2 linked regions of the Styela clava genome follow. The protein of the gene in region 2 purifies or fractionates together with the protein of the main gene of each other region. This does not show direct contact. Links are inferred from orthologs where the notes say so. Each region holds a gene or a part of one and is shown on either strand. Other genes may lie near its edges.

Region 1 (3,935 bases), on a different chromosome or scaffold from region 2:
CAATATAACACAGGTGTAGCTGTTATAAGTATGTCTGGCGTGTTTTGTGCCTTTTTACAAATAGGACCGCTTATGCAAGCTCACGCTTTTGAATTTTTTGTTATTTTCTAGCCCTGCAGGGTGTGGGGGCCTTACACAACTCTACCGGAGGGTCAAATGTCTTTGCATGCCTCCATAGGTTGTTTTTCTATTGCAAAAATTTATGGAGTACTCTAATTATATTTCTTGGAATCACACGGTCACTGATATGTCGCCAGACTTCTGATATCTCCCCTTCTGCTATAGTTGTCCTGTGAATAAATAATAGGAAATTGAGATCAGACGAATAGTTGAAACTTTTGCTTTATGTCGGCTTAATTTCTTGATTGATATACTTACTATTTTTGCTATTGCCTCTTGTGCTGCAGGAGTTTCACAATGCTTAAACAGGTTTGTCCAGATTCACATCTGAAGAAGGAGAGGAGATTTATTAATTTTCGTCAAGAATAAATGAAGCAGTCTATATGATTTAGAATGGAAAAGCTAATAAGGCCAACATCTCATGTTTAATGTAAAAAATGTTATATTGAATTTGGTATATAAACCAACTAATAAAGGAATTTAGTCAGAAAATTACAAGCATTCGTGGCTCCATATACTTGAGAGATCAGACTATACAATATAGACCGGTATGAGTGAAATGTTAGGTGAACTTGTTAACCCTTTGATTCAATCCTCACTGATTAAAAAAAATCTAAATGGAGGTGCATGAACTATTTGAAACCATAAGAGGTAAGTAAATATGCAATTTTGGCAAATGGGCAACTACGTACCGTACTGAATTATTAACTTCGTAGTATTTGACAAAAGCTGGCTTTCCCACAAGTACTTAACAGTGCGATGCCCGGATGTGGTATACAACAACCTCAACTTTCCAAAATATCAATAAAATCGACAACAACTGTCAAAGCCGGCACGAACACCATTCGTGCTATGCCTTGAAAGCAGCACACATCCGCTCGTTTTCGTCTCGTCAAGTATGTGCATTGGAGCGTGCTATCGGATACGATCTTCGGCCAAAAATGCCGTAGTTGCGCATCATGTTGTTTAATGTCAGTGCACCAAGCGAAGCAGTACAGTAGGACACAAAATGGCGTCCGATGTCCACAGAACGAAAACAAATCTCACAGAGCTAACAGAAATATTTAAAATTGGGAAAATTTTTATCTCCAACCACTGAAAATTTCAAAGCAATTGGTCCAGTATTCGAAGAGAAAAGCGGTTTTTTAATATTTCTACTAGGTGTGTTATTCTGTGTCAAACAACAAGAACAACATAACATTGAAACGATCGTTATGTCCACTACGTGTCCAATAAGTAAACGATTTTTGTTTTCATGTCACCTCTTCGATGTATGCTGCCACTTATTGCCTACGTGACGCCACGCGTGCTGCAGTTGCTTTGTAGAAACAAAATTTTATTTTACCTGGACTATCGCGGTGGAGTCAGAAATGGAAGACGAGTTTGATGTAATTCTTTTCGGTGATTCACGCGAAAGAGATCGTGGGTATGTAGAAGGAATAGCGCACGGATCCAGAGTTGGAAAGCTGGAAGGTTTTTCAACAGGATTGAACCAAGGACGTTTGACAGCTGGAGAAATTGTTTTTTATCTGGGATTTTGTGAAACATACATTATGCAGCTGAAAAATTTATCGAGTAGTGCAAACTCAAATAATTTTAAATCTTCTCCCGACCAAAGTAAACTTACATTAAAGTTGAAAAACACAATCTCGCTTATAAACGAGTTTATAACCCTCTCACCAGAGGATGAAAAATATTCAAAATATATGAACGACATTCGAACGAATCTGAAAATTTTGTCCTCAAAATTGAAAGTTTCTATTAGTTTTTTAAAAAATTCTAGTGATGTAAATTTTTAATAGGAAGAAATAATATCAATTTTTGGCTATGCACTGTACTTCTTTTTATGATTGACTATTTTATGCCATGTCTGCATGTTGTTTACATGAAGGTGTGCTCCAAATCCTGGATATTGAATTTTAAAAGGATATGTTGTATCATATTTCGCTACGATGATAAATGTTACCTAATTTAACTATCTGCAAGTGTATATTCTCATTCATCGTTTTTTATCAGTGTTCACATTTAGTCACACAATTTTCGATGACCACTTGCTTGATTTTGTCAAATTCCTCACGATTGTAAGGTTTGGTTATCAGTGCAATTATGATATATTTTTAGTGCTCTTCAGTGTAAAATTATCATAAAATGGATGCCAAAAATATTAATTTGCGTCCTGACTGGAATTTATTGGATTCTACTTTTGAATCATATAAGCTGTCTCTACAGCAATTGCCGGTGTATCATGTAAATCCAGACTGTGAATTAGATACGGTAACTTTGGCTAATGACGATTTCTCATACAATCGAACAAAGGTTCTCTCCCTTCACAACTACTTATTTGGCGATCCATGGAATGAAAAAGAATGCTATTTTGTGGATAAAGCTGGTCATATTAAACGTTTGTCTGTTATTGTTGAGGCTTCAATAGGACAACCTCGATCAGTTTTTCAACTAGGATCTCATTTTTTACAAACTGAAAGGCATATGCCTGTAACAATATCTTTCCCCTCAGCTAATTTATGCTTGATATCTGATGGGGCAGGATTGGTATATCTTCTTGATACTGGGAACCGGCAAACTGATACAACTCAAAAAACAAAATGGACTATCTTATTAAGTGGGAACATAGTAGGTGAAAATTCGGAACCTTCTGTACTTCTGTGTTCACGGCAGCATTTTGAAGATGCAGAACCTGAATCTGGAGATCATGGAAAAAAAGATGTCATTGATATTTTGACTTTACGATTTCAGGATGAAAAGAAAGATGATGCCGTGATATCACAAGCTGTTGTGGAATGGACTTGGTTATTTCGATATGATGAAAAGTCCAAATTTGAAATTGGCGAACATAGAATGTTCAAAGGGAAACAAGCACCTTTCTATGCCACCTTGGGTGAAAGTGGTAAAGAATTATTCATCGGGTCACATTCACCAATGAAATATGCTACTGATTGGGAACAGCAGGTTTTGAGTGAAGAAATGGAGATTGAGAATGGAGAAGCTGCTGATAAAATGGACTCCGCACCAGAAAATTCAGAATCTCTGTATAAATGGACTCAAACAGATGAAGATGTAACTGTTATGATTCCTATGCCAGAAGGAGCAGACAAAACTTCTGTTGTATATGGCTTGTCCAAAAGTAAGTTAACTGTTGGTTTCAAGGATGCGACAGGAAAGATTAGTTATGTTCTGGATGGGAAACTATTTGTCGAAGTCGACCATGAATCGAGTAACTGGTCTGTTGAGGGCCAAACCTTGACCGTAACAATCTCAAAAGAATTGGAAGGCCAAAACTGGCCAATTGTTATATTAGGTGACACTAGTGGTCAGATGATTCCCAACAACGCAGATCAAGATGTTGACATGGAGACAAAAGATGAAATGGCAGATTTAGAAGCAAGAGGTTTTCAGCCTACAGGCCTTGATCACTACGAGGATTGTGATGACTTGCCTGATGCGGATTCAATGCTGTACATGTTTGATGCTACAGAAAACAAATTCACTTATGAAGCAGGCATAGCAAGTAATCAGTGGCTATTTAACTGTTACTATAATCATAAATTATGTACAGTGCTGCGACATGATATTGACGCTTTAGTATGGGAATCTGACACTCCCAGTGAGTCTTGTTCCAGTCCCTGGAAACATGTTGCAACATTCAATGCACTCGGGTACGTGAGAGCATCTAAAGAAGATGTAAAATATTCAGGATGCTCTCCGAATGCCTCTTATTCTGCATTATGTGAATCCAGCAGCAGGGTGTTTGTTTATCACAGCCCAACGACAACTGCGGCACCCCTTAAAAACCGAAA
Region 2 (3,935 bases):
ATTTATTTATCAGCTGATTTTGAATATTGTGTCATTACTGATGTTGATATCATCTCGTTACGGGATCAAAGTCATGCGCAAATGAGCCAATTTTTTGGTGCGATCTGAGTTATGCGTGTATGCGACCATTCTGAAGAATGCATGGACTGCAGACTGTTGCCATGATTAAAAATGCACCGTGTACCGCTACGCATGTTAGGCATTGGCAGTCGACTCATCAACCATATTACTGTGAGACAAGTGAAAAGAAAGTCAGGATTGCAAGTGGTGGCACAACTGCTATTTTCATTCGGAGTGACTTCGATCGATGATGGTATTTCGTTCATTTGTGTTTTAATTTTGAAATATTACCGTGCTGTTTTGTTTGGCTAGCATCTTTATTAAATTGAGATAAACTACCTTTGAATAGCCTAGTCTATACAATACCTGATAACAAATTCTTGACATAATCTTTATCATCAGCAATGCATAATGCTGGAAACATTGTCTTATGTCTGTTAAAATCGGGTCCTTTGTCATTCCCATCGCTTTTTGAATCATTTTTTAACTTTTTATCTGAAAGGAAAATATAAATGTTTACAAATATTATGCCAGTAAGAATTGTTTCAAATGTATGAAATTAACAAATGAAAAAAATCTACAATTGGTGTACAAACGCAATTATTTCATAGTAACATGAGACATGGATTCTACAACCTAAAGATTTTATGGTCTCAATTCAGAAAAAAGAACTACAAATCTACAAATTTATGTCAAACAGAAACAACATATTTCAACATTCTAGGAATCACAAAAATTATGTTGACAAAACTGCTCAGATGTGTAACATTTTCTACAGTTGTCAACGACCTGGTCATCATTTCTTCAGCTGAATAATTAGTCTCTGCCATTTTGGACAATATTCATTTAACACATACTATTGACATTCAGTTATTATCGAACAGTTACTCAATAATAACCAAACCCAAGCTATAAACAGTCTATTAGACGCCACATTACGGAATCATCCAAAAACCGAGAGTATATATGAATGATGGACATACTCTTTTTTCTTTTCTTTTGTGGTGGCCTCATTCTATGTATAAGAGACAAAAGATTTCTTGTAAAAGAATGTGGAAACTCTGCTCCATTTTTAGCTAATGCCGATGAGAATGACTCGACAGTGACATGTTTTCCAGCGAGATTGATGACAAATTCCGCTAAATAGAAATATTATAACTATTTTACTTCAGTTTCTTTGACTATGCATTCAATGAACTTGTAATCTCCCAATCAGCCAAAATGCTTGCAAGTAAGCTTTATATTAATGAATTCAGATATTTATTTTGTTGTCCAAGATATATTGTAACAACAAAATTAATCAGAAATAGTATTAAAAATAAAAATTGAAATAAACAGACATACAATATTGCCGCAAAAGGCCACCAAAGTCATAGTGTCAGCGACACTGTCAAGTATTCAAAATATCCAAAAACTTTTAAATTAAAAAATTTACAAGCCTGATTTTTTATTTTCTAACCTTCGGTAAGGTTTTGTTGTACGAAGACACCTAACTTATGCTATACACCAACAACTGGACCATCACAGAAACATGCTAATGTGTCAGGTTGTTCAGTTAATAAAAATGTCTGAGATGCCACCAAGTTTACTGAACTTATAAACTTATGTTAGAATGTGTCGAAAAAATCGATGCTTACTGAAAATTGGACATAAGAATGTAAAAAGAACTACAATACCTAAATCTTTATCGTTCATTCCAAGATGGTTGTCTAATTCTGTACAAACTTTCGACACAAGAGAAAGATATTCAAGTTTTTCCAAGTCATCCATAATTTTGCATAGATGGTCCCAAAATTATCTAAATTCTGAAATTACAAAATGCAAGCAAAAATTACTACAGTTAGTATTACATAGTGCAGTTTGTCAGCAGCTCTTGGCGTAATTCTGCAGTTCTGTAAAGCAAAAAACCATACAGCCAAGATGCTTTAGTTAAGGTACATCTGGTATGTAAAGAAGAAGGGAAAAAGAGAACGGTCTGGTCAAGTACACGATATAACTCTGATTCTATACAAGTATCAGATTTATAGACCTTCCTTCTGCCAGTGTCACGAGTGTTATCTTCGTATTGCTGTATTGAGGTTTCATTATTCAGTTTCTAATGGGACAGAGAAAGAGGGATTTTATTTTTTCGTCAACCAAAATAATATAACAGTCATCGTACTAATAAAAATAATAACAATCAATTAGTAATAGTAGACAGGAGGGAGTAATACGACCAGACGATCATCAAAGTCAACTCCCTCTTTCATGCTGTTATGTTTACAGAGTTTAACATTCACAATTTCAGATGACTAAATAAGAGGTAGAACATCTGGATTTACATATTTATCCAAAGAGCTGGAAGGAGAGGAAAGTCTATTACCCCCCCCCCCCCCTAACCACATGCTGACATGGCAAACCATGGCCTCACGTCCGGGTACCATTCCACGTCGGATACCGTATGGGATTAGTTAGTTATTTGTTTTAGGAAGCATGAACTTGATTCTAGTATTTAAAATTATATTCACAAAATGGAAGAATGAACTTGGAGAGTAATTCTGGAACGCTAGAGTAAATCATTTTTATTTGTGTAATGTCACAAAAGCATCTTCATGTTGAGGTTTCAGTACAGCAATATCAAATCCTTATACTGTTATACCTGAATTTGTATAGGTCTACTGTGATAAACCGAATAAAAATTTGATAAGCTACAAGGTAAAATTTTGGTTACACAAACAGACATAATTAATATGAATTTAAGCAAACAAACATAGGGCCTATAAAAAACTTAAATCAATAACATCAGGGTACGGTGGCTTACCCACTTTGCGGCCACAACCTATTTGCGACCATCACTTCATCGATTATTACTGCCAAAAAAATTAACGAGCCGCGACGATATTTCTCACGCGTTATCGTCACTGAACTGGAAATATATTTATATATCTCTGTGGTTATCGTCCACTTATCCCTCGTAGCTCTGCGAAATTACACTAAAATGCGGCCACAACAAAAAAAGTTACGACCGAAAACCCGACCGAAGAAAAAAAACGGACTGTTTTCCCATGTCGCCAACTATCCATTGTTCCTTTAAAAAGCTTGAAAATTCATACAAATATAGGAGATAAAGAGATGAAACTTGGCAGGTGGATAGAGTTGTGTTTCTTTTTACCATCTTTAAAGTGGGCATGGCTGCGTATGCCCTAGTCTCGATGCAGCAGAAACGATGTTCAAGGCTTGAAAGCCGTGGTCGCACACTGGTCGTTCGGTCGCAAATACGTCTTCAGAGTGTCGTACTTTGGTGGTTTGTATTGCTTTAACCCCTGGTCGTAGAAAGTTAATTCGAGGTTTAGCTTGTAGAATAAATGCCGATGCACCTACAGTGAAAAAATTAACGGGTTAGAAATATTGGTTTTTGTTTTATAGCGGTTTGAATGAAATCGTCCGCAGATTGGCTACACCACCCTAGTTCCATCAGCATCAGGCACGTTATTTCCAGATAATCCATACGGCAACCTGGCAACAGTGTTCAATTTTCTTAATTTGTCATATAGAATTATAGATTATTGTTATATACAACTTTACAAGGTTGAATTTTATAACCTCTATTCGTGGGAAATCGGGGTGCACAGTTCAGGTACGGTTAACTTACCTAAATCTTACTCGGCTGAGTGGCGCATGTGCTAAGGGTCAGGAATACGCTCGCCACCGCATCTCTGATTACCCTTCGTGAGATTGCAGGTTCGAATCCCATGCGGGGATGATCATGTGCGAGAGGATGGCTGGACTCCTCGCCGCCGTAGGGTGGTTCACGTAACCGCTGGTCGGCTACGGCTTCCTCCACCATCGAGTCCATGCTTCCGAAAACAAATAACTGGCTAACTAATCCCATGCCC

Evidence for each region.
Region 1: the proteins of ATP-dependent RNA helicase DHX8-like (region 2) and nudC domain-containing protein 1-like purify together in Homo sapiens (affinity purification with mass spectrometry; 3 studies listed by BioGRID and IntAct, counting the BioPlex papers as one, with this or other methods). This does not show direct contact. The link is inferred for Styela clava from reciprocal best matches to the Homo sapiens genes DHX8 and NUDCD1.

Annotation. Positions count from the first base shown.
Region 1 is NC_135256.1:18,148,960-18,152,894, reverse strand, and holds the start of nudC domain-containing protein 1-like, read left to right. Parts: upstream 1-1,201; 5' UTR 1,202-2,268; coding exon 2,269-3,935.
Region 2 is NC_135250.1:15,238,689-15,242,623, reverse strand, and holds the start of ATP-dependent RNA helicase DHX8-like, read right to left. Parts: upstream 2,960-3,935; 5' UTR 2,861-2,959; intron 1,866-2,860; 5' UTR 1,831-1,865; coding exon 1,737-1,830; intron 1,200-1,736; coding exon 1,044-1,199; intron 556-1,043; coding exon 427-555; intron 1-426.